2 linked regions of the Elephas maximus indicus genome follow. The protein of the gene in region 2 interacts with the protein of the main gene of each other region in a biochemical or structural test. Links are inferred from orthologs where the notes say so. Each region holds a gene or a part of one and is shown on either strand. Other genes may lie near its edges.

Region 1 (10,605 bases), on a different chromosome or scaffold from region 2:
CACCGTTGAGGCTTGAAGATTTCCACTTCTGTTCACTTCTGAGCTTTGTCACAGTCATCTCTGATCTTAACCAAAGCCATGTTCACATTTGCTCCACAAATGGGGGTCATGGGCCAGATTGGGAGGAGGCAACAGATTTACAAAATGGATGTTTACTTAACCCTTTCCAGAACCCCAGAGTACAGTCATTTCTGCTCATGCCTCGAGGGTGTTTTCTGAAAAAAGAAAGTGCTTTTTCAGCACTCTTGGTGTCTAATTTCAAACCCTGCCCTTACATCGGGTGATTCTAAGTAGGCTGACGATGCTGCCCTGTTCTAACTGGTTTTCCCACAGGGTTTAGTCACTCAGGTGCCCTCGGTGACATACTTGTGTCCAAGGTAAGGGGAATGGGTCCCGTGCCTCAGGGCTTTTCCTAATCTCCTTTTAGACTCCAAAAGACAATTATAGAGAAATCTGATTTGTGTTCATCTGAAAGTGTAGAAATGTTGACCCCAGTTGTTCCGTTGATGAGCTTACAATTGTGGTCTCTCTGGTTGAGGGAGTTTGGCTGTATCTGACTGCCCTCCTGGTGTAAGCAGGAAGCATCTCCCTTTAGGGGACACTGAGCTTCTGTTAGGGGTGATGGTCTAATTTAGGAACAGGTAAAGGGTGATGGTTGAATGACATGATGAATATAATTAATGTCACTGAAACATACATGTGAAGATTGTTGAAATGTCAAATATTTTGTTAAGTATACATTTACCACAATAAATTAAAAAAAAAAAAAAAAGATCGAAGAAACTCCAGAACAGAAAAAAACAATATACAGTGACAAAAAGTAGTTAGTGGTTAACTGGGGCCAGGTGTGGGGATTGGGGTTATTGGGAAAGGCCACAATGGAACTTTTTGGTGTGATAGAAATGTTTTATATCTTGACTGTGATGGTGGCTACAGGGATGTTTGTATTTGTCAAAGCCTATCAAACCATATACTTAAAAGAAATGCTTTATTATACATAAATTATACTTTCATAAAGTTAACTTAAAAAAAAAACTCTGTTAATCTCTTAGGAGTTAAAGGAAAAAAGTATAGTGGACCACTAATAGAATATGGCAGTTTAGGAACACAGGGAAGCAGCCCAAATCTCACATGTACTGAAATCAGAACCAGAACACTCAACACCATTTCTATGGCACTTTAGCCTACTAAAGGTAATTGTACAGAATAAGTATTACTTTACTCCTATTTTACATATAAAAAAACTAAGAATTCAAAATGTGGCCCTGGGTGACTACTAGCCAAAAGGTTGGCAGTTTGAACCCACCCAGCAGTGCCACAGGAGACAGGCCGGGCAATCTGCTTCTGAAAGATCACAGCCTTGAAACGCTATGGAGCCTTTCTATTCTGCACACATGGGGTCTCTGTGAATCAGAATTGACTTGACGGCAACTAACAACAACAAGAAGAATTTAAAGAAGGGCAAGTGCTTGCTAAGGTTGCTCAGCTCCTTAGCTTAAGCAGGACTCCCTCCAAGTGTTCACAGAAAACCCAAACGATCCAGCGCTAAGTCTAAGCACACAGGGATGCTCGACTGCTCCAGGAAACCAAAGACATGAATGCTGCCCGCCCTGCTCCACTGGAGTCCCCGGGTGGTACAAAGAGTTAATGCACTTGACTGCTAACTGAAAGGCAGGAGGATAGGATTTACCCCAAGGTGCCTCAGAAGAAAGGCTTGGCAATCTACTTTCAAAAAATCAGCCATTGAAAACCCTGTGGAGCACACTTCTACTCTGATGCACATGGTGTTGCTGTGAGCCAGGGTCAATTCTACAGCAGCTGGTCTGGCCCTCCTCCACATAGCACAACCCTGGGTTGGTGCCAGTACCCTTGGCAGATTAGGTAGGGTCTTGCCCCATCCTTCTTTCTGTGTGTAACACCACATATAAACAACAATATTTCTAATTACCTGCAAGGATTTCATAATTAATCAAATTAAAGTTAATTTCTTTTTATTTTTTTAAATTGCATCTTGCCAATATCCAATACTGATGAGACTCCACAATCTGAGAAATTTTGAAATCACACCTCCATATTACACAAGCTCAATTTCAGAGAATTTACACAAGAAATAAAGGAAACAATGACTTGATGATAAAGTGACTATAATCACGCTTTAATCAATGAAGTTATCTTTGCAGAACTTAAAGAAATCCAATGGAACATCTTTTTTAAAAAAGCTAAATAAACACTTTTTAATTTATCTAATTCTCTTATATTACATTTGCTTGAGGTAGGGTGTGCATGAATTAAAAGGAATTTTAAAGAACTAAGTACATTTAAAAGGAAGGTAATGCAAAGTTTTGGTATTATTTCTCTACTGAGGAAGTACAGAACTGAGCCCTACTAAGATTCACTCTCATGAGGCCATTGAATTGACTGTAATCACAGGAAAGCAATGTTATAGATATTCTCTGCATGGTTTCAATTCTTAATAACACAGGTCTTGATAAATCTCTGTTTGGTCCCACATAATGGAAAATAAAGTTCACAGTTGTCCCATCCAACTCCAGGGATAAGAATCAAGGTCATAGATAAACTCACTGTCCCATTGCACTGGGACAAACAACCCTTGCCATAGAATGGGAACAAGCAGGACAAGAGACAAGATGGTGAAACAAGTGAAGATGTGCTTCACAAAACCAAGTTTCCACTTTGTCTCCACGTAGTCACAGAAACATCTCATGCATTTGTCAGAAAAGCTAAGTAACTCCACTGGAAACAGGCCCACAGAATGAAACAACAGGCTGCAGTGTAGCTACTTAAGAAAAATAAAGCCACTTGTGTAAAGAGCTGAATGGCTTTCCCCTCCCAGCCCCAACCCAATATCACAGTTGGCTTTTGTTTTGTGAATCATACACTGCCCTTTCTTCACCACAGTGATTCACACACAAGCAGAGATGCAATGAGCTGTCCCACCTTGGAACACTAGTTCGTTCCCCACCCCCAGCCTGGAAAATAAGCATCACCCCTGACAGGTTGGTTTCTCCACAGGCTCCCTCTCACCCGCCTCACCTTTCCTGCCCCTTTGCATTGGAACCCACAACCCTCATTGCCCCCGTCGCCACCACCATCTCTTGGATTACAAGCCGACAGATAAACTCCCTGCCCTCACCCATGATCACTTGGCTCTGAGCAGCCACGGCCACACCACTTACGTTTTTGCCAGAGCATGGTCTGTGACAGGATGTTGCCTTTTCTCTTTGAAGCAGACAGCTTGGCTTCTTTAATGTGAGACCTGGGTGTGCTTTCCTCCAGTGTAGCCACTGCTTGCTCAGAGGATGTTTCCTCGGCTTTTTAAAAGCCCAAGTTCCCGCTGTGTGGGGGCACAGCGTCATCACATCCTCCCACCGCAGGCACGGGTGCTCTTGCTCTTCAGCGACACTGCCCGTCACCCCACTGTGAGCGCCCTCAGAGCCTGCTGGCTACAGACCACTTCATATTCGGAGCCGGCCATCTGGGTCTGAACAACGACATGGCATAGAAGCCTGTGGCCATTTGGATGTGGCCACAGAGCGTGGTGTGATACTTGTGTGCGTGTGTATGTATGTGGCAGTGTGCATGAGGGTAAACTGTGTGAGTATGTGTGTCCCATCTTGTACCTGCTCACACCAAGACAAGCTCAAAAGACCCCCTGGAAACCACTGGGTTTTCTGTGGTGCTTGTTCAGGGTTTCATACCACCAGGGTATTAGCAGGGCTCAGCCCACCATGGGCTCCTGCTCAACGGGAAATGCAATTCCCAGGGGTCACTGCTTCTGAACACAGAAGGAAGCACCTGTAGTCTCTTCAAGCCTCAGTAAACAACCTCCTCACTCTTTTAATATTGCTTTTCTGTTTATTTCATTTTGAAACACAATAGCCTTCCCCTTACTACCAGCCACCACTAAAACGGCCAGCCTTGATCACGCTTAAATATGGGGAACACTGATTCTGATGGTTGATACACCAGAGAAAGAGCCCAACTCCCTCAGTGCTTTTTAACCGGAGCTGTTTACTCAGAGGGGGTATGAGGAGTGCCCACCCCGATTAACTTGAAACTTCTCAAAAGAAAAGTAGTATGTCCACCACCTGGTAGCATATGGGGTGTTAGGCCACAAGACTCCTTCCCAGGTAAAAATCTTTTGTCACTGTGTATCCAAAGTCTACATGTATGGACCGGGGTGACACAATCAGTTTGGGGTCAAGACCACGTAAGGCAGGTCTGAGGCCTTACTGCTTGGCCCTCCAAACTGCCTCAGAGCGATCTTGTACAACTAGGTCTGCTCGCTCCATTCCCTACTGAAAAAGCCTTTAATTTCTCCCCTTCAGCCACAGAGCTGGAGACACATAAGTCCTTCATGGTCTAGCCCTTGCCTACCTTCCCAGACTCATCTCCCACTCATCCCCAATGTCCAAGCATCCCCCAACATCCATGCACTTCCCTGCCTTTGATCTTGCTGTCTTCTCTTGCTGGATTCCTCTTCCACACCTCCTCACCTGAACATCTTCTCTTCATTTTTCCAGATCCAGCTCAAATGCCCCCTTTTTGGTGAAAAAATTCCTGATCCACCAAATCTTGTAGCTCAGAGAAAACTAGTCTGTCTTTTCTCGACTCCCAGAGCATTTGTCTGTTCATTATTTTTAGGTAAGCTGTCACATGACTGTGTGTTCCTCAAGGCGGTTTCAACTTTGTTTCACAGTGCCTCACTCTTAACTAACCGGCCTTCAAAAAAATCTCACTTAATGAAGTAATGAATTTTCATCTCTAATGGGTTGTTGGTTCGAGGGCAGACCCTGAGGAGAAATGTTGTCCGCATAAACAACTCGCTCAAAAGGCTGAGAATGCTATCTATAAGCTGAACTATGAGCCCTCATCCCAAGGCCTCTGAACCCTGGGATGTGGAGGGCCCAGTTCTGTAGGTGGCGGCTGGCAGCGCCACAGCCTTGCAGGGAGTAGTGTCACACAGAAGACCTTGGGCCGCGCTGAGAAGTTCCCACTGGAAACAGTGGCACATCCACTAGGCCTGGCTCAGTCGCGGGAGACGTGGGTTTCTAGCAAGGCTTTGCCACTTACTGGCTACAACCCCTTAAACAAGTCATGTGACCCATCTGAGTCTCAGTTTCCTTGTTTATAAAATGAAGAAGCAGTTCTCTGAATGTCTGACAGGGTTCTGAGGAGCGTATATAACCTCCCTAACCTTTCTTATGCTGTTCCGCATCATAGTTATGTCTTATTCTTTCCAAGTTCCATGAAATTAAGAACTTCTTCTTACCCATCTTTGTCTCTCCCCATAAGCCTAGCATAATGATTTCCTGAAATAATAATAACTAAAAAAAAATTATTTTTTTTTTTTACTTACTCTGCACCAAGCCCCATGTTAAGCCTTTCTAGACATTATTTAATTTAGTCGCAGCAACAACTCTGTGAGGGAACTTCTGTTTGTATTTTCCAGAGAAACAAATATTCATTTAGGAAGTTTAACTTGCCCAATGTCACAGGGCTAAGAGGTGATAGGCTGGGTTTTAGACTTAAGGTCTTATGACCAAAGCCTGAGCTCTAAATAATTATACTAATAGACATTCATTAAGGTGAAAGCCAAGTGTCAGCCATATTTATTAGTAGTACTATAGGATCATTGCTATTATAACCTAGATCAGATCAATAGAAACTTCCCCCACTTCCCCATCTAAATATCACCTCTTTCTTTTTTAAGATCCAACTCAAATCGCACCTTTTTGGTGAAAAAATTTCTGGTCCACCAAAACTCCTAGCCCAGAGAAAATTAGTCCCTCTTTTCTTAGTTCCCTTGTTACCCCTGGGATAAACCCCTGTCCTCTGGAAAGATAGGAGGAAGGAGAGAAACCCAGAGGTGTTCTGACAAATCAAACCTTTAACGGTAACAGAGAAAAAACAAATTTGGTAGACAAGCCCACCATTATAGCCAGGTATAAACCCTGCCAGATATAAGCCAGTTCAGGAAGCCAGTGCTTCCAGCAAAGACCCTGGATATCTTTGACCACATATAGGCAGGTATTGTGGAATCATGACTCAATCAAAATGGCAGAGATTTTGCCTGGCAGACATCTTCTGTGACTCAGAATCAGAAGTCAAACTACATGTAGAGTTCAAAAGAGACACGGTGGTCATGTTCATGCAATACGTCAAGACGTGCAGGAAAAGAAAGTCTGTCAACACCATCCAAATGTCTCCAAATACAGGTGTGCTCCCACTTTTTAAAAATCTGATAAACCAAAATCAAAACTCCTAAAACAATTAATTAAAAAGCACTGATTCATACTGCAAAAGGACTCAAATTGCCAAAAAGCTTCGCCACAGACTTCACTGCTTCCTCCATCCAACAAATATTTATTGAGTGCTTACTATGTTTCATTGCTTCTGCCAGGCTTTAGTTTTGCTTTTCATTAGGACTTTAATCTTCCCCTTCGGTCCATGACATTTTAACACCATTGGTTTATGAAAGACTGCTCATTTATTTATTTATTCCTTTATTCATTCCTTCATTCAGTTATTCACTTATTCACTCATTCACTTTCCTTCTCGTTTTACATATCTATTCTTTCTCCTATACCCCCTCACCCCCATCACACATCCACCATCCCAGTCGAGGCAACTATTTTCACCTGGTTGATGTTGACCTTTCTGTTTGTAGACATTTATAAAAATATGTATTATTTTGCATGCCTCTAAACCTGTTGCCATCAAGTTGATTCCGACTTATAGTGGCCCCATAGGACAGACTAGAACTGTGCCATAGGGTTTCCAAGGAGCAGTCAGTAGATTCGAACTGCCTGAGCTCTTAATCAGTGTGCCACGAAGGCATGCATGTATTTCTAATTCATGTAATTGGTGTTGTATTATACGGCTTGTACTATTACTTATTTCTTTTTAAATTTAACTATGCTTAAAATCCATCCACATTGCTATGTATACATTCAATCTGTTATTTATAATGGCTGCAAAGTATTCCACAGTATGCAAACCCTACATTTTACTTATCTAGATTGTCTCCAATTTACCCCCTTTTCATAAAACAACAATGAACATTCTGATATGCATCCTTTTCCAGAGACACGTGAAAATGTCCTTGGGGTTATATACCCAGGTCAAAGAATATGATTAGTAATAAATTTAATAATGTTAAGTACGAGCCATATTTATTCGTAGTACCATAGGATCATTGCCGTTAGAACCTGGAGCAGATCAACAGAAGCTTATTACTTAACATTACTTAAATTGTAAGTATTATTTGTCTATAATATTTAAATTTTAAATAATAATATTTAATTCAACTAACTACTGTCAAATTGCTCCCCAGAATTCCCACTATCAGTTCATGAGGCTTCACATATTTATACTTCTCCACCAAACTTGGCATTATCCACTTTTCTTTCACCAGCCTTATGGATGGAAAGTGATAGTTTGTTGTGGTTTTATTTGACATCACTAATACTAATAAACTTAAGTATCTCTTCATATGCTTGTTAACCTTCTGGATTTCCTCTTCTGTAAAAGGCTTGTTCATATCCTTTGCCAATTTCTTTATTGGACTTGCTCTTTTTTTCTTGTTGATTAGCAGGAGCTTTTTGCATATTCTAGATGCATAGTTCTAGGTATTGTCAGTTGCACTCATTCCAAATATCCTTTCCTAATCTGTCATCTGTTCAAAGTTTATTCATAATGTCCTTGTGTGGGACAAAACCCACACCCACTGCCGTTGAGTCGATTCCAACTCATAGTGACCCTGCAGGACAGAGTAGAACTGCCCCATAGAGTTTCCAAGGAGCACCTGGTGGGTCCAAACTGCTGACCTCTTGGTTAGCAGCCGTAGCACTTAAACACTACGCCACCAGGGTTTTCTTCTTAGAAATACTTAATTTTGATGCTTGCATTTTGGGGATTTTGTTGAAAAATTCTTTCTTCATCCCAAGATAATAAAGATGGTTTCCTGCATTTTATTCTATTAACTTTAGAGTTTTATCTTTCACATTGGTACTCCATGTGTAGTTGCTCACTGATGGAGTCTAGGGATCAAGTTTTATTTTTCCCCATATAGTGGGCTAATTTTCTCCACACCATCACCTCAACAAGACTTCTTTTCCCTCACTGACTTATGAGGTTGCCTTTATCTATGCTATATTCACATATATACAAGGACCTGTCTTTGAACACCATTTTATTTCATTGGTCTCATTGTATGTCCTTGTACTAACACCTTACAGTTTCCATTATTACTTATTGTAAATCTTAAAATTTTAGAATAAGTTCATCAAGTTCCTAAAAAAAACACAATTGGAATTTTTATTGGGATTTCATCGAATTTATTGATTTTTGCTCTGGAAGAGCTGATATCTTGATAACATTAATTTAGCCCAGCTAAAAAAAAAAAAATTTTTTTTTTTTTTTAAGCATAGAATGAGTCCCTGGGTAGTACAAACAGTTAACATGCCCAGCCACTAACCAAAAGCTTGGAAGTTCAAAATCACCAAGAGGCACCTCAGAAGAAAGGCCAGGCAATCTACTTCTGAAAAAATAAGCCATTGTAAACCGTATGGAGCACAGTTCTACTGTGGCACACATGGGGCTGCCATGAGTTGGAATCAACTTAATGGCAGCTGGTACCATAGTGGTAAGCATGGAATAGCTCTCCATCTATTCAGATCACATTCTATGTTCTTTATTATTAACCAAAAAAAACCAAACACATTGCTGTCGAGCTGATTCCAACTCATAGTGACCCTGTAGGACAGAGTAGAACTGCCCCACAGGGTTTTCAAGGAGCAGCTGGTAGATTGGAACTGCCAACCTTTTGGTCAGCAGCCAACCACTTAACCACTGCGCCACCAGGGCTCCTCTTTATTATTAGAGTTTTTAAATTTTCTCTATGAAAGTCTAGTGCAGTTTTGGATAAGGTACTTTTTAGTCACTATATAGTTTTCCATTGCCATTGTGAATGATACCTTAATTTTTATTATATGTTCTAGTTGGTTATCTAGGCTATAGAATAATTCTAGTAATATTTGTGAGTATATCCTAGCACCTTTGTTAAACTCTCTTATTAGTTCTAACAGTGTGTTGATTATGATGGTCTTTCTACGTAGACGATCATCTCTTCTGAAGATAATGGCAGTTCTATCTTTTCCCTTCCAATCTTTACAGCTCTCATTTTTTTTCCTTTCTTTATAATGTTGACCCATACAATATTAAACAGCAATGATGATAATGGCTATTTTTGTCATGTCTTTGTCTTGAAGATACACTGAAGAAAAATTCCTGGAATTAAAAAAAAATGATATAAGATCTCAGATTAAATGGCTTGTGGATAGTGAAACAAGAGAGAAAAGAAAAAACTAACATCTGGACCCATTACAGTGAAATTTAAAAAGAAGACAAAGAGAAAATTCTAAACGTTTTCTGAGAGCAAGAGCATGTTAACTGAAGAACAAGAATCATATTGACATTACACTTTTCTTATTGCAATACTGGGTGCAAGAAGACAATGAAGAAATGTTTTTAAAGTATTGAAGGAAAAGCATGTTGAACCTCTAATTTTAAATCCAGCCAAGCTGTCATTACAATATTGTTGCTTCACAACAATACCCTCAAACATACAAGCCTCACATTAAAATTGCTCTTGGAGGAGGCATTCAAATAAAAGAGCAGCCCAAAAGGATGCAACAAGAAATATGGGAACAAAAACTGATCAAATACCTGGGTGAACTTTATTACAGGAATTTTCTTAAAGATGGAAGAAAAAGACAAAATATATCCATAACAACCCAGAAGGAGAGGGAAGACCTGGGTGATCTTAATGGGGTCCATGAATCTTGTGTGCATACATATTTTTCCTTGATTCGCAAGATTAAGAATTACTGCTTATTTTAGGGAAACTCTATGCTATCAAATTTTTAAATATATGAGATATAAACTGCCCAAGTCCAGCTAGAACAATCATGGTCCCCCAGGTGAAATGGGTAATGCACAGGCAAAATATCGAACTCCACTGCTGGCTGCAGGCAGTCTCCCATGTTTTCTGTACAAACTGAGTCAACAAGGCCCATTTCTCATTTCTCCTGCAAATGAGCATTTCATTGTTGCATAGAATTTGCCTCTGGGAGAGGCAGCAGAGAACAGTGAAGTGATTATTTAATATAGAGCCAGAGAACCTGGTTTGGAATCTGGCTACACTGCTAGCAGTGTGGCCTTGGGTAAATTATTTAATCTCTTCTAGTTTTAGTTTCCTTATCTTTCAAATTGAAATTGTAATAATTGTCGCACTGGTTAAATGTAATAGCCTACTGCATGGTGTTCTACATACACTAATTTCAGACCCTGAGACTACATAACTGAATTACCGTTCATGTTTTTGTTCTCAAAAATCACGCATATTAGGAAACACTTCAAGCTTTGCCGATTACTTCTCAGGAGCCCTGGTGGTGTGGTGGTTAAGCACTTGGCTGCTAATGGAAAGGGTGGGGATTCGAACCCACCAGCCTCTCTGTAGGATGAAGATGTGGCAGCCTGCTTCTGTAAAGATTACAGCCTTGGAAACCTGTGGCATGTGGG
Region 2 (11,284 bases):
TGACTAATGTAATAATCATACAATTCAAGGATAACACAGCGCATATGTGTCAAAGGTAAAACGTAGGGAATTATGACAAAAAGGTTATCTGAAAGAAATTCAGGATTCCCTGGACCTTAAAGTGACCCAGAAATAAATCACCTTACTGAAAGATCTTAAGAGTCTTCTAAGAAAGATAACATATATCTAACTTGAAAAAAAAATATTAAAGTATGAAATATATATATATACTTTATTACATAAAGCATAATCTATAATATATAAATGCTTTATAATATAAACTTTAAAATATGTTAAAGAAACAAAGTTGGGGGGGGAAGCACTTTGAAAACTAAAAAAAAAAAAAAAAATTCCAAAATAAAGGGTTTTTCTTTTTCATAAGCAAAGATATTCATTAATTGTTATCGGAAATAATTCACTGGTAACTCTGAAAACAGATGGGACAGTAGTAACTCAATCTAAAAAAAAAAATTTAAGAAAAATACCTCCATAGTGACTCGTCCCCCACAAACCACATGAAACAAGTGTCAAAATCAGAGTATATCAAATTCACACCTTAATCTTAAACCAGTACAAGAAGTTGTACCATAAGGCATAAAAACATCTAATCCATCTAATAATCTAATCCATCTAATATCCATCAAATAATCCATCTAGTAATTTCAAATCTGAATTACAACCACAGCTACTTAAAACTTAAACTAGCCTAGTACCCCAAATGAGCCTGCTCGATACGGGTTTCCTTCTTGTAGGGTTATCTATTTAATGAAGGTTTCCACAGTAATAAGCAATAGCAGGTATTCCGGAAGATGTATACAACACAAGAGGCGAGGCAAGGACACATCCGCGCCTCTCCCTCTTTCAAAGGGCCAAAAGCTGAATACACATTATATAAATATCCTACTTCACATCTGCAAACTGAAACTTAACATTATAAATAATCAAACAAGTTTATTATCAAACAAGTTCTGCCTTTTCTCCCACCAGGCTAAGAACCATTTAACTACAGTTATTAACAGAGAACAAATACTTAAATACGCTGTATTTGCTTTTTGAACTTGGAGCACATTTTGTCATCTGTTTAAATACTTAACTAGGAAATCAAAACAACTGTTACACAGAAGTCTCAAGGAAGTTGTCCACGGCTGCCTTAACCACACGCCTAAGTGACGAAAAAGAATCAGGAGTCCTTCCCCCATGAATTCCATCTCTAGCCTAGAAGCTGTAGGGTAGTTTTTATAAGATACTAGTTTTTGTAACAGATGTTTATCTCATGAGCTTGGGCAGTTCTACTGTGACTCTGGTTTTCCTCAGATGTTCAGAGGGTTCAAATATGTGTGTTTATGGCCTTAAATGAGGGCAAAAGCAGTTCTATAGCTTCCTCCCCCCGCCCCCGAATGAAGGCACTGTTTAGTTATTATAACAGAGAAGCTGTCCAGAAAAACTTAAATAGCATCTGAAAGTACACTAAGGTTTGAAAGGAACAGGTGGACAGACTTAGTGAAAATCAGCTTTCTGAATGACTTAACAAGAATTTTATGAAAGTCAAAAATCCTAAGAAATGCAGTAGAATATACCATTAAGCATACACCCTGCTCAGTGTTTCCCTTAGAATTTAAAAATTAAAAAAAAAAAAAAAAGATGAGTCAGTTAACATTTATAAAATGGGTAACAATTTTCCCACATATGTGGATACCATAAAAACAAAAGAGAGGTAAGTCTTAAAAAGTCATGAGCCTGACCTTGTACAATTCCTATCCTAATTTCCACGTCTATAAATTAAAGATTATGTCACAGACCTTGTGGATCTTCTAAGGTTCTTCTACTGAACTGTCAAAGAGTTTCAAAGGCATTTATTAAAATTACTTCACCAAAAAATAAATGAAACAATAAAATTCTGATTAACTAACTAATAACAGAACAATGACGAAAAGATTGTTTAAATGATATTTACTGTTACTTAAAAGGAATACAGACACAATTTTTTATTTTAAAATATATTGCTAAAAATATTTCAGAAAAGTATCTTCCTTTTCTTTCCTTTCTTGAGTTTCTATCTTAGTAGATAGAGACAAGCTCTTTTTTGATACTTGAAGATTTTTCTCTCTGGGCAATACCAAAATTATCTGTATCTGACACTGAGATGACTGTATCTAATAAGTCTAATACCCAGTATACAAGGTGGTCTTGGGTTGAATTCTTGGCATCAATTTGTTGTTTTTGCCATTCATTCATTTTCTTTTTTCTGTACAAATACTACAGACCCTGGGTTTGGGCCAAGCCTTCTGTCTAAGACTTCAAACATTTTCAGAACTAACATTTTATCTCTGGCAACAATGCAGGAAACTGGGGCAGCCGCAATTTTCATGTGGAGAAGATGACATCCAGGAAAAAAAGTAATTTGTAAAGGTTTTAACGGTAAGATACCCCTGTCCTGGAGATCACATCCTTGAACTATCCAGGTGACCAAAGTAACCACATAAGGGTTCTAATAATCGTACATCTAAACAGGCAAAAACCAACACAAAACATGGCCACCAGGAGCCACCATAGTGTCTCAATCTATGTTAAATCTGAATCACCAAAGATGGTTCAAATATTCAAACTGGACATCATCTTCCCCAAAAGGTTTGTTGTTCTATAGTGAAAATTGTAAAACTAGGATTTCCAATACTTAAAATTATAGTTTTCTGAAGGACATAGTTGACTTCAAAAGATCAAAAAAAAAGATGGGTAATATTAGGCATAATGTTAAAACAATTAATAGTTTCTAAAACCTGGAAATTGATCAATAGTCCTATTATGGTAACCACTGCAATTACCCTCTACATCAGTATTTATGGGAACAATTCTGTACTAAGGCTCCACCTTATTTCTCACTAAGCCATTTTAGATTTTGTATGGGACATTTGTATTAAGTATGCAAAACATTTTAATTAATATGTATATATTATTAGGTACAGTTTATAGCTTGGTTTCATATTTAGAGTGTTTTTAGAACTACATGCTCTCGACAGAAATTTCCAAAAAGCAAAAATGTCACCCTTTCAAGCTAACTTCTAAATCCACAGTATTTACTGCGAATATCCGCTGAACCAGAAGCTAGTCACAGGGAGGGACTGAGAGCAAACTCAAGCATGCTTGTGCTCTGCAAATGCCTTCCACCTTCCCTGCTCCACTGGCCACCCCGCCCCCTCCGGACCAGGTTGCATATGCGATTAAGCATTTATGCATAGTCAACCCCACACAGGCTATTTCCATATTAAAGCTCATAAGAAAGAAGTGTGCTGGTACCCACCTAGAACATAGTCACTGCAGTCCAGCATTGCTGTGAAATCTTCTAGAGGTCCAAACCGTCCAAAGCAAGGAAGAACAGGTAGCGGTTTGGGGAGGGAGAAAGAAGGTACTACTATTTCTCACAAACCTACGCTATGTTCTTAACAGAACAAGGTGGGGGGTGGGAAGTGGATGGAGGGGGGAAGCAAAATACAACTTCAGTTACACCATAGCAATCTTCAACTGAATAAGGAAACTTCAGTTGCTCAGAGGAGTTTTAGCCTCTCCTACCAGCTTGGACTGACATTGTCAAGGCAACTGAAGCATGAAAAGTTCCCCTTTTTGTAATAAAATAGAAACAAAGATTGCAGCTGGCAGTTTCCATAATGAAGCTTAATCAGTATGCGCGTGATTAGGGCCTTATGCAAATCTCTCCTAGTTAGCACAGCAGCCAGTACTTTGAAGTCCAGGAACAATTCATTTACAGAATACACTGAAAGCACTCCCTGCATAATTTAAATCGTTACATAAATATTTATCAGCTTATCTGCATATTAATTGGCAGTGCATGAAGGGAAAAATTATCTCCTGAGTGCCAGCATAATAATTAGGAGGATAAAATAAGATTTCTTCCAATGGCCTGGCTTCTCGGACCTAACTTGAGCTAGTGCTGGGGCAGAAGGGAGGGACAGGAGACAGAGTTCTGTTAAAATGCCCCTGAAATGACACGTACAAATTAGAAACAACTCTACAGACTTAAGCACCTTTAATCTTATTCCTGCCAGCAACAATGACTTCAGTAATAAGAGGATTTGCAAAAAGCTTTCTACACAATCCAAGTAATCCCAAGGAAACAATTAGCAAGGTAGAAGCAGAACACAGGGCTGTCAAGATGGTGCAAGTCTTCTGATAGGAAATTTTCCAAATGTTAACACAAACTGTCAGGAGAAAGTCCTGCTTTAAACAAGGCATCAGAATAAATCCGGAAGCAGCACAGGACCTAAAGGTGCCTTCAGAGTATGAAAATTATCTACAAATATTTTTAAAATACTAAATGAACAGGACAGATTAGTTGAATGCTACATATTATGTAGTACCCCCCCCCACCTCCCACAAAATCAATCTCAAGTAGAAGACAGTCTGTTACCTACAATATGCAGAGTCAAAAAATGAGTCCTGTAAATTGTGTAATTACTTAGTATGTGTACACACACACACACACACACACACACCTTTCCAAGGAGCAGCTACTGGATTCCAACTGCTGACCTTTTGGTTAGCAGCCATGTTCCTAACCAGTGTGCCAAGCGAAACTCGTTGCCATCGAGTCGAATCCAACTCATAATGACCCTATGTGTCTATGTGTGTGTGTGTGTGTGTGTATCTAACCCTTACTAAACAGTATTCAAATTAAAGCGGATTTACAAGGTAAAACATCAACCCAAAACTTTTCAGGCATTACAATATGAAAACGTTACATCCTAAGCATCATAGACAATTCAAGAGAAGGCTTAACAAACACCCTACAAAGTAGGCATTTTCACTCTCTCCCTTATTTTTATTGGTGATAAATATGTATATAAACAAAGCATCAGCCATTTCAACGTTTTTTACATGTACAATTCAGAGACATTCTGTTCATCATGTTGAGCAACCATCACCTTAACAGAGGCTCAGTGCCCTCTAAGCAATGACTCTCTTTCCCCCTCCCTCCCACCCTTGATAACCACTAATAAGCTTCGGTCTCTCAACATTTGCTGATTCTAGATATTTCATATAAGTGGGACCATACAATCTTTGTCGATTTCACCCAGTATAATATTCTCAAGGTTCATCCATGTTGTAGTATCAAGATCAGCAGCCCACCTGCCATCTTGAATAGAAAAGGGGTTGTGCCTACCACCTTCTGTGATATAGGGACTAGCTCCCTGTGATTAAGCCATCTCCTTATTAGGTAACTGAATTCCCATCTTTAAGCTATCTCCTTATTTAGATATGCTGCCAGTTCAGACTCAGTTAAGAAAAACAAGAGGCCGGGGTCTCAAGACCAGTTGAGACTGGCAAGAACCAGGTTTGGCCCACCTGACATAGGCAGTACATAAGAGCATGACCTTTGGACAACCTACTGATGTCAGAGGCTGAAAAAACACCCTTTCTATGTCCCAGATGTGGACAAAACGCCATCTTTGTGCCCCCCCCCCCCCTTCAGACTGAGCAGCTGCAGAAGACCAGACTTCCCCAGAAACGCCTTTTCGGGCCAAACCAATCGGCAAGCTGACTCCACCTTGAGGGGTTTCTGAAGACTCCAGACCCAATTTACTTTACCCATATAAACCCCTTGAGCTATTGTCTGAGGAGCCATCTTGACAACACAAGTCCTGGTGTGCTCCTTTACTTGGCCAACTAAATAAAGCTTCTTCTTTCACTTTCATTCGCTTTGTGTCTTTATAGGGTCGCCAAGCAGACCTGGGCAAGTCTAGTTACATTTTGTATCAAGACTTTATTTCTTTCTCTTTATGGTTGAGTACTAATCCATTAAAAGGAGCTCTGCTGGTGCAGTGGTTAAGTGCTCGGCTGCTAACCAAAGCACTGGCAGTTTGAATCCACCAGCAGTTCTATGGAAGAAAGATGTAGCAGTCTGGTTCCGTAAAGATTTACAGCCTTGGAAACCCTAGTGTTGTTGCTGTTGATAGATGCCATCCAGTCAGTTTAGAACCGCCCCATACTAATCCATTTTATGTACGTACCACCTTTTGTTTATTCATGCATCTGCTGATGGACATCTAGGTTGCTTCCATCTTTTCGCTATTGTGAATAGCTGCAATGAACAACGATGTAAAACTGCCTGTTTGCATTCCTGCTTTCAATTCTTTTGGATATATACCTAGGAGTGGAATTGCTGGATCATATGGTAGCTAATTCAGGAGCCCTGGTGGTGCAGTCATTAAGAGCTCAGCTGCTAACAAAAAGGGCTACAGTTCAAATCCACCAGCCTCTCCTTGGAAACTCTACGGGGCAGTTCTACTCTGTCCTATAGGGTCGCTACGAATGGGAATGGGAATCGACTCAACGGAAATGGGTTTGGTACTTTGGTTGATACGGTAATTCCAGGACAATCATGCTTGGTAAAGTAGAGGGTCAGTGGAAAAAAGAGGAAAACCCTCAACGAGAAGGAATAACACAGTAGCTACAACAATGGGCTCAAACATAGCAACAATTGTGAGGATGGTGCAGAACTGGGCAGCGTTTCGTTCTGTTGTACACAGGGTTTCTATGAATTGGAATTGGCTCAACAGGATCTAGTAACAACAATGGTAATTCCATGTTTAATTTTTGGAGGAACCACAAAACTGTATTGTGGCTACACCATTTTATACTTCCATCAGCAAAGGATGAGGGTTCCAGTTTCTCCACATCCTCACCAACACCTGTTGTTTTGTTTGTTTTTATCGCAGCCATCTCAGAGGGGTGAAGTGATAGTTCACTGTGGTTGTGATTTGCTTTTTCCTAATGACTAATGATGGCAAACATCTTTTCATATGCTTATACATTCGCTTTGCTGAACTATCTATTCAGGTTCCTAGCCTGTTTTTTGACTGGGTTGTCTTTTTTGTTAGGTTGCCCGAGTTCTTAATATTTTCTGGATATTAAACCCTTATCAGATATGTGGTTCCCCAAAATTTTCTCCCAATCTGTAGGCTGTCCCTTCACTTTGTTGATAAAATTCTTTGATAAGAAGTTTTAAATTTTCATGAAGTCCCATTTTATCTATCTCGTCCTCCTTTTTTAAAGATAAGGAAACTGAGCCATAGAGAATTGAAATACTAACTGAACATTACACTAACACAATGTGACACTAATAATTTATAGTCAGAATTTAAAACCAGATTTTGCTGACATCAAAATCTGAGCTCTTGGATATTACTTTGAATTTGGACACACTAATTTGAGTTTCCTCTACTTTCTTGGATAAATCGTATCCTTAACAAAAAAACAAAAAATTATACACAGTCTAATATTTCCATTGTCAACTTCCTTAGTCACGTTTTCATACTTTTCACTGAAAGTCATATTTTACATTATGCATACATATATACATAGAAAGAGAGAATAAATATTAAAACAACTCAAGAAAAGCTTCATGAAATGAGGCTCCTTCCTAAGTACAATGCATTCTGATATGTTCTAATACGTATATACGCATATATGTATATGCATATATATATGTATTTTTTAATTTCTTATTGCTGGCAGCAACTCACTAAATTGATTTCACGACACACCAATTGAAAATCACTGCTTTTAAAAGTGAACCAAGAACTTAAAAGACACGTGAAGCAACCTGAGAGCAGAATCACCTTTTATTTTCTTTTAACTAATAAATTAACCTAATATTTTACAGTTCACACTTAATTCAATGGTGTTTCTTAGCAATTATCCTTTATCAATTTTTTTCAAAGCATTCAATTTTAACTTTCACAGAAACATCATTTCTCTTTTTCTTAATGATTATTTAAATTGTGTAATTAAAATAGGTAGTATAACTACTATAAACAGGCTTGGGCACACAAATAACTAAATGACTCTTGATAATCATACAACTCAACTAGTAGGAGCAGACAGGCACAGACGTACCAAGGAGTAAGCATAGCGTGGGGGCATCAATGTGTTTTTAGCAGGAATGGGGCAAGCATATCGTGGGGGCATCAGACAATGTGTTTTTAGCAGGAATGGGGCATCAGTCAGTTAATCTAGTGTGATGGTTAAGGTTTCGTGTCAGCTTGTCTAGGCCATCATTCCCAGTGGTTTGGCAGATATGTAATCATCCCCCATTCTGTGATCTGATGTGAGCAGCCAATCAGTTGAAAGGCCAATCAGAGGAAAGCCACTCAGTTAAAAGCCAGTCAGCTTCCTTGGGGGCATGGCCTGCTTCCAATAAGTATGGATGTTCTGGCAAAGCATCCTGCATCCAACTTGTCATCCTCTTACCTCTGGTTCTTGGGAATGAACCAGAAGCCTGCTGTCTAACCTTCCAGTTTTGAGTTTGTCAGCCCCTGCAACCACGAGTCAGGAGAATCCTCCAGCTTGACACCTGACCCATGGATTTGGGATTTGCCAGCCTCCACAACTACGTGAGACATTTCCTTGAGACAAATCTCTCCATGTATATTTATATATATGTGGTTCACTAGTTTTGCTCCTCTAGAGGACCCAGCCTAAGACATCTAGTCAATAAGTTAGGTGAAGATTTGTTTAGAAAGCTACCACACTAGAAAGCAGTTATGAAATGGCACATGTTTCCGGTCTCTTCTTTAACCTGTGCTGTCTTATATTTTTACATCCATTGCTATAGCTCCTCTACTGCTCAATCTAACATTTTAGCATCCTTAGGTAAACATAGTACAAAATCCAATCCTGACATTCTTAGTTATAAAATCTTAAATTTTGTGTACCTCTACTTAAGTTTTATTACAATTAACTTACCAGTCAGGTCTATCCTAAATCATCCTGGTTCTTTACTTTTATAACTGCCTTTTCTTCATTCTAGTGTAAAGAGTTTTGCTAAGTTATTGTTTTCATGAATTAACTCATTTAACAAATATTTACTAAGTGCTGCCAGGCGACAGGATAGGAAATGGAGATAGGATAGGAATTGGTGAGCCTCAAGAAAGCTTTCAATGTAAAGCAGAGAGAAATACTACTCAAACAATCACCCAAATATGTAATCCCAAACTTACAAAAAGTACAAAATTACTTTTATAAGTACAAAAAAAAAATCCATGGAGTAAAAGTACTGGACTGCAAAGCTTTAATACATCCCTATAATTTGTCTGGACATTCTTGGCTAATATTAGAGTTCTCCTATTTTAACAACTGGAATGTAACTTTTTCTCTGACTCCATTTTCTTAAATCCATGAAAAACAGGCTTTGTTCTGCTTGAAATCACATGCAGCTCCAGTTATTCCCATCCATCTTTGGAACTATTCTGTTTCATTCCTCATATTGGTAATTTGTGTCTGCTTTCTTTTTATCTCTCTCTTACTCTCAGGCTTCCTGAATTTATGCGATAGTATAACAAGTATGCCAGAGTTCTATCTGAGATACAAAATTTGAAGACACATTTCTCTATTCAGTTAATTAAAATGGTCTTCAGACAATGTCTTCTGATATTACTAACCTGTCTTAATGATATTAAAAATATAGTGGTAGGCATTCTATAAACACTTACTAGCTCTCAATCTGTCTAAAATACCCTTCTTCCCTACATCTCGGTTCATGAAAAGTCTTCCTATCCTATAAAGACAGGTTTGAAACTATGGTCTAAGATTTCCCTCACTTCTCCAGTTGTCAAGTAATTATTTCTCCCTATAAACTCCTATAACAATTATTATGTACCTCTTTTTTGTTTTTACTCTTTATTTTTAATAATCACAAGAATTTGCAAAGATAGTACAGATAGCTCCCATGTTTCCCTCACTGGTTAACATCTTACGTAACTACAATACCGAATCCAGGAAACTGACACTGGTATAAAGTGTGCATAATTCTATGTGACTGTATCACCTATGGAAATTTATGAAACTACCAGCACAATCAAGATATACAACTATTTAATCACAGACTTCCCCCATTATGGGAATATCGGCTCCTCTCTTTCTACCTTCTCTAAGCCCTGACAACCATTTATCTGTTAGTCATCTTTATAATTTTGTCATTTTGAGAATGTTATACAAATGGAATCATACAGTATATGACCAACTAAAATTGGCATTGTTTACACAGCATAATGCCCTTGAGTTCCATCCAAATGCATGTATCAATAGTTCATTCGTTTTTACTGCTGAATGGTATTCTGCCGTCTAAATGTACCACAGTTTAATTATTCACCTACTGAGAGACATCTTGACTGCTTACAGTTTGGGGCCATTACAAACAAGCCTACTGCAAACGTTCATACACAGGATGTACAGCCGATGAAAGGACAAGATCCACGGTGGGAGAAAAGTACACATCGGATAAAGGACTCTTAATTATATAAAGAGGATTCATGTACACATTTTTACATGGCCATATGATTTTATTTCCTTGGGATAAATGTACAGAAGTGAGACTGCTTGATAGTATGATAACTATGCTCAATTTTTTAAGAGACTGCCAACATATCTTCCAGAATGGCTGTACCATGTTACTTTCCCATAAATAATGTATAAGAACTCCAGATTTTCCAAATCTATACCGTTGCTTGGTATTTTCACTATTTTTTATTTTAGCTGTTTGAATAGGTGTGCAGTGATATTTCATCATGGTTTACTTTGAATTTCCCTACTGGCTAGTAATACTGAACATCTTTTTGCGTGTTTATTTGTCATCCACATAGCTATCCTCCTCAGTAAAACGCGTCTTCCTTTTCTTTGCCTCTTTTCTAAAGGATTTTTTTTTTTTAATAGTTGAGTTCTGAAAGTTCTTTATATATTCTAGATAAGAGTCCTTTATCAGATACATGGCTTTGTAAATCTTTTCTCCCAGTGTGGAGCTTGTATTTTCACTCTCTTAACAGGGTTTTGTGTATAGTAAAACTTTAATTTTGATGCTCAATTTATCAATTTTTTTCTTTTATGGACATTTTTGTTGTCATGTTTAGAAACTGTTCACCATTTCAAGTTAGTTTTTATGTGTGAGGTTTAGGTTGAGGATTTTTTGTTTTTGTTACTTCTTTCTTTTATTGGTCTATCACTATCTGATTGTTCCAACATCATCTGTTGAAAAGACTAACATTCTTCCATTGAAATGTTTTTGTATCTTAGTCAGAAATCAATTAGCTATACTTCTGGGTTTGTTTCTAGGTTCTCTCTATTTTATTCCATTGATCTACGTGTCAATCCAACAACCTGTAATATCACTCAGCCTGGATTACTACGGCTATTATAATAAACCTTGAAACTGACTGAATTCTTCCTACTTGATTTTTTGTTTTCAAAATTGCTTTAGCGATTCTAATTCCTTTGC

Evidence for each region.
Region 1: the proteins of POU2F1 (region 2) and POU2AF1 are reported together in a solved structure, tested with the Homo sapiens proteins (2 studies listed by BioGRID, with this or other methods). The link is inferred for Elephas maximus indicus from reciprocal best matches to the Homo sapiens genes POU2F1 and POU2AF1.

What each region holds. Positions count from the first base shown.
Region 1 is NC_064825.1:7,620,101-7,630,705, reverse strand, and holds the start of POU2AF1 (POU domain class 2-associating factor 1), read right to left. Parts: upstream 4,657-10,605; 5' UTR 4,537-4,656; coding exon 4,518-4,536; intron 4,489-4,517; exon of another isoform or gene 3,214-4,488; coding exon of another isoform or gene 3,198-3,213; intron 1-3,197. UniProt on the Homo sapiens protein: Transcriptional coactivator that specifically associates with either POU2F1/OCT1 or POU2F2/OCT2. It boosts the POU2F1/OCT1 mediated promoter activity and to a lesser extent, that of POU2F2/OCT2. It recognizes the POU domains of POU2F1/OCT1 and POU2F2/OCT2.
Region 2 is NC_064821.1:208,356,309-208,367,592, reverse strand, and holds the start of POU2F1 (POU domain, class 2, transcription factor 1), read right to left. Parts: upstream 4,308-11,284; 5' UTR 3,327-4,307; coding exon 3,299-3,326; intron 1-3,298. UniProt on the Homo sapiens protein: Transcription factor that binds to the octamer motif (5'-ATTTGCAT-3') and activates the promoters of the genes for some small nuclear RNAs (snRNA) and of genes such as those for histone H2B and immunoglobulins.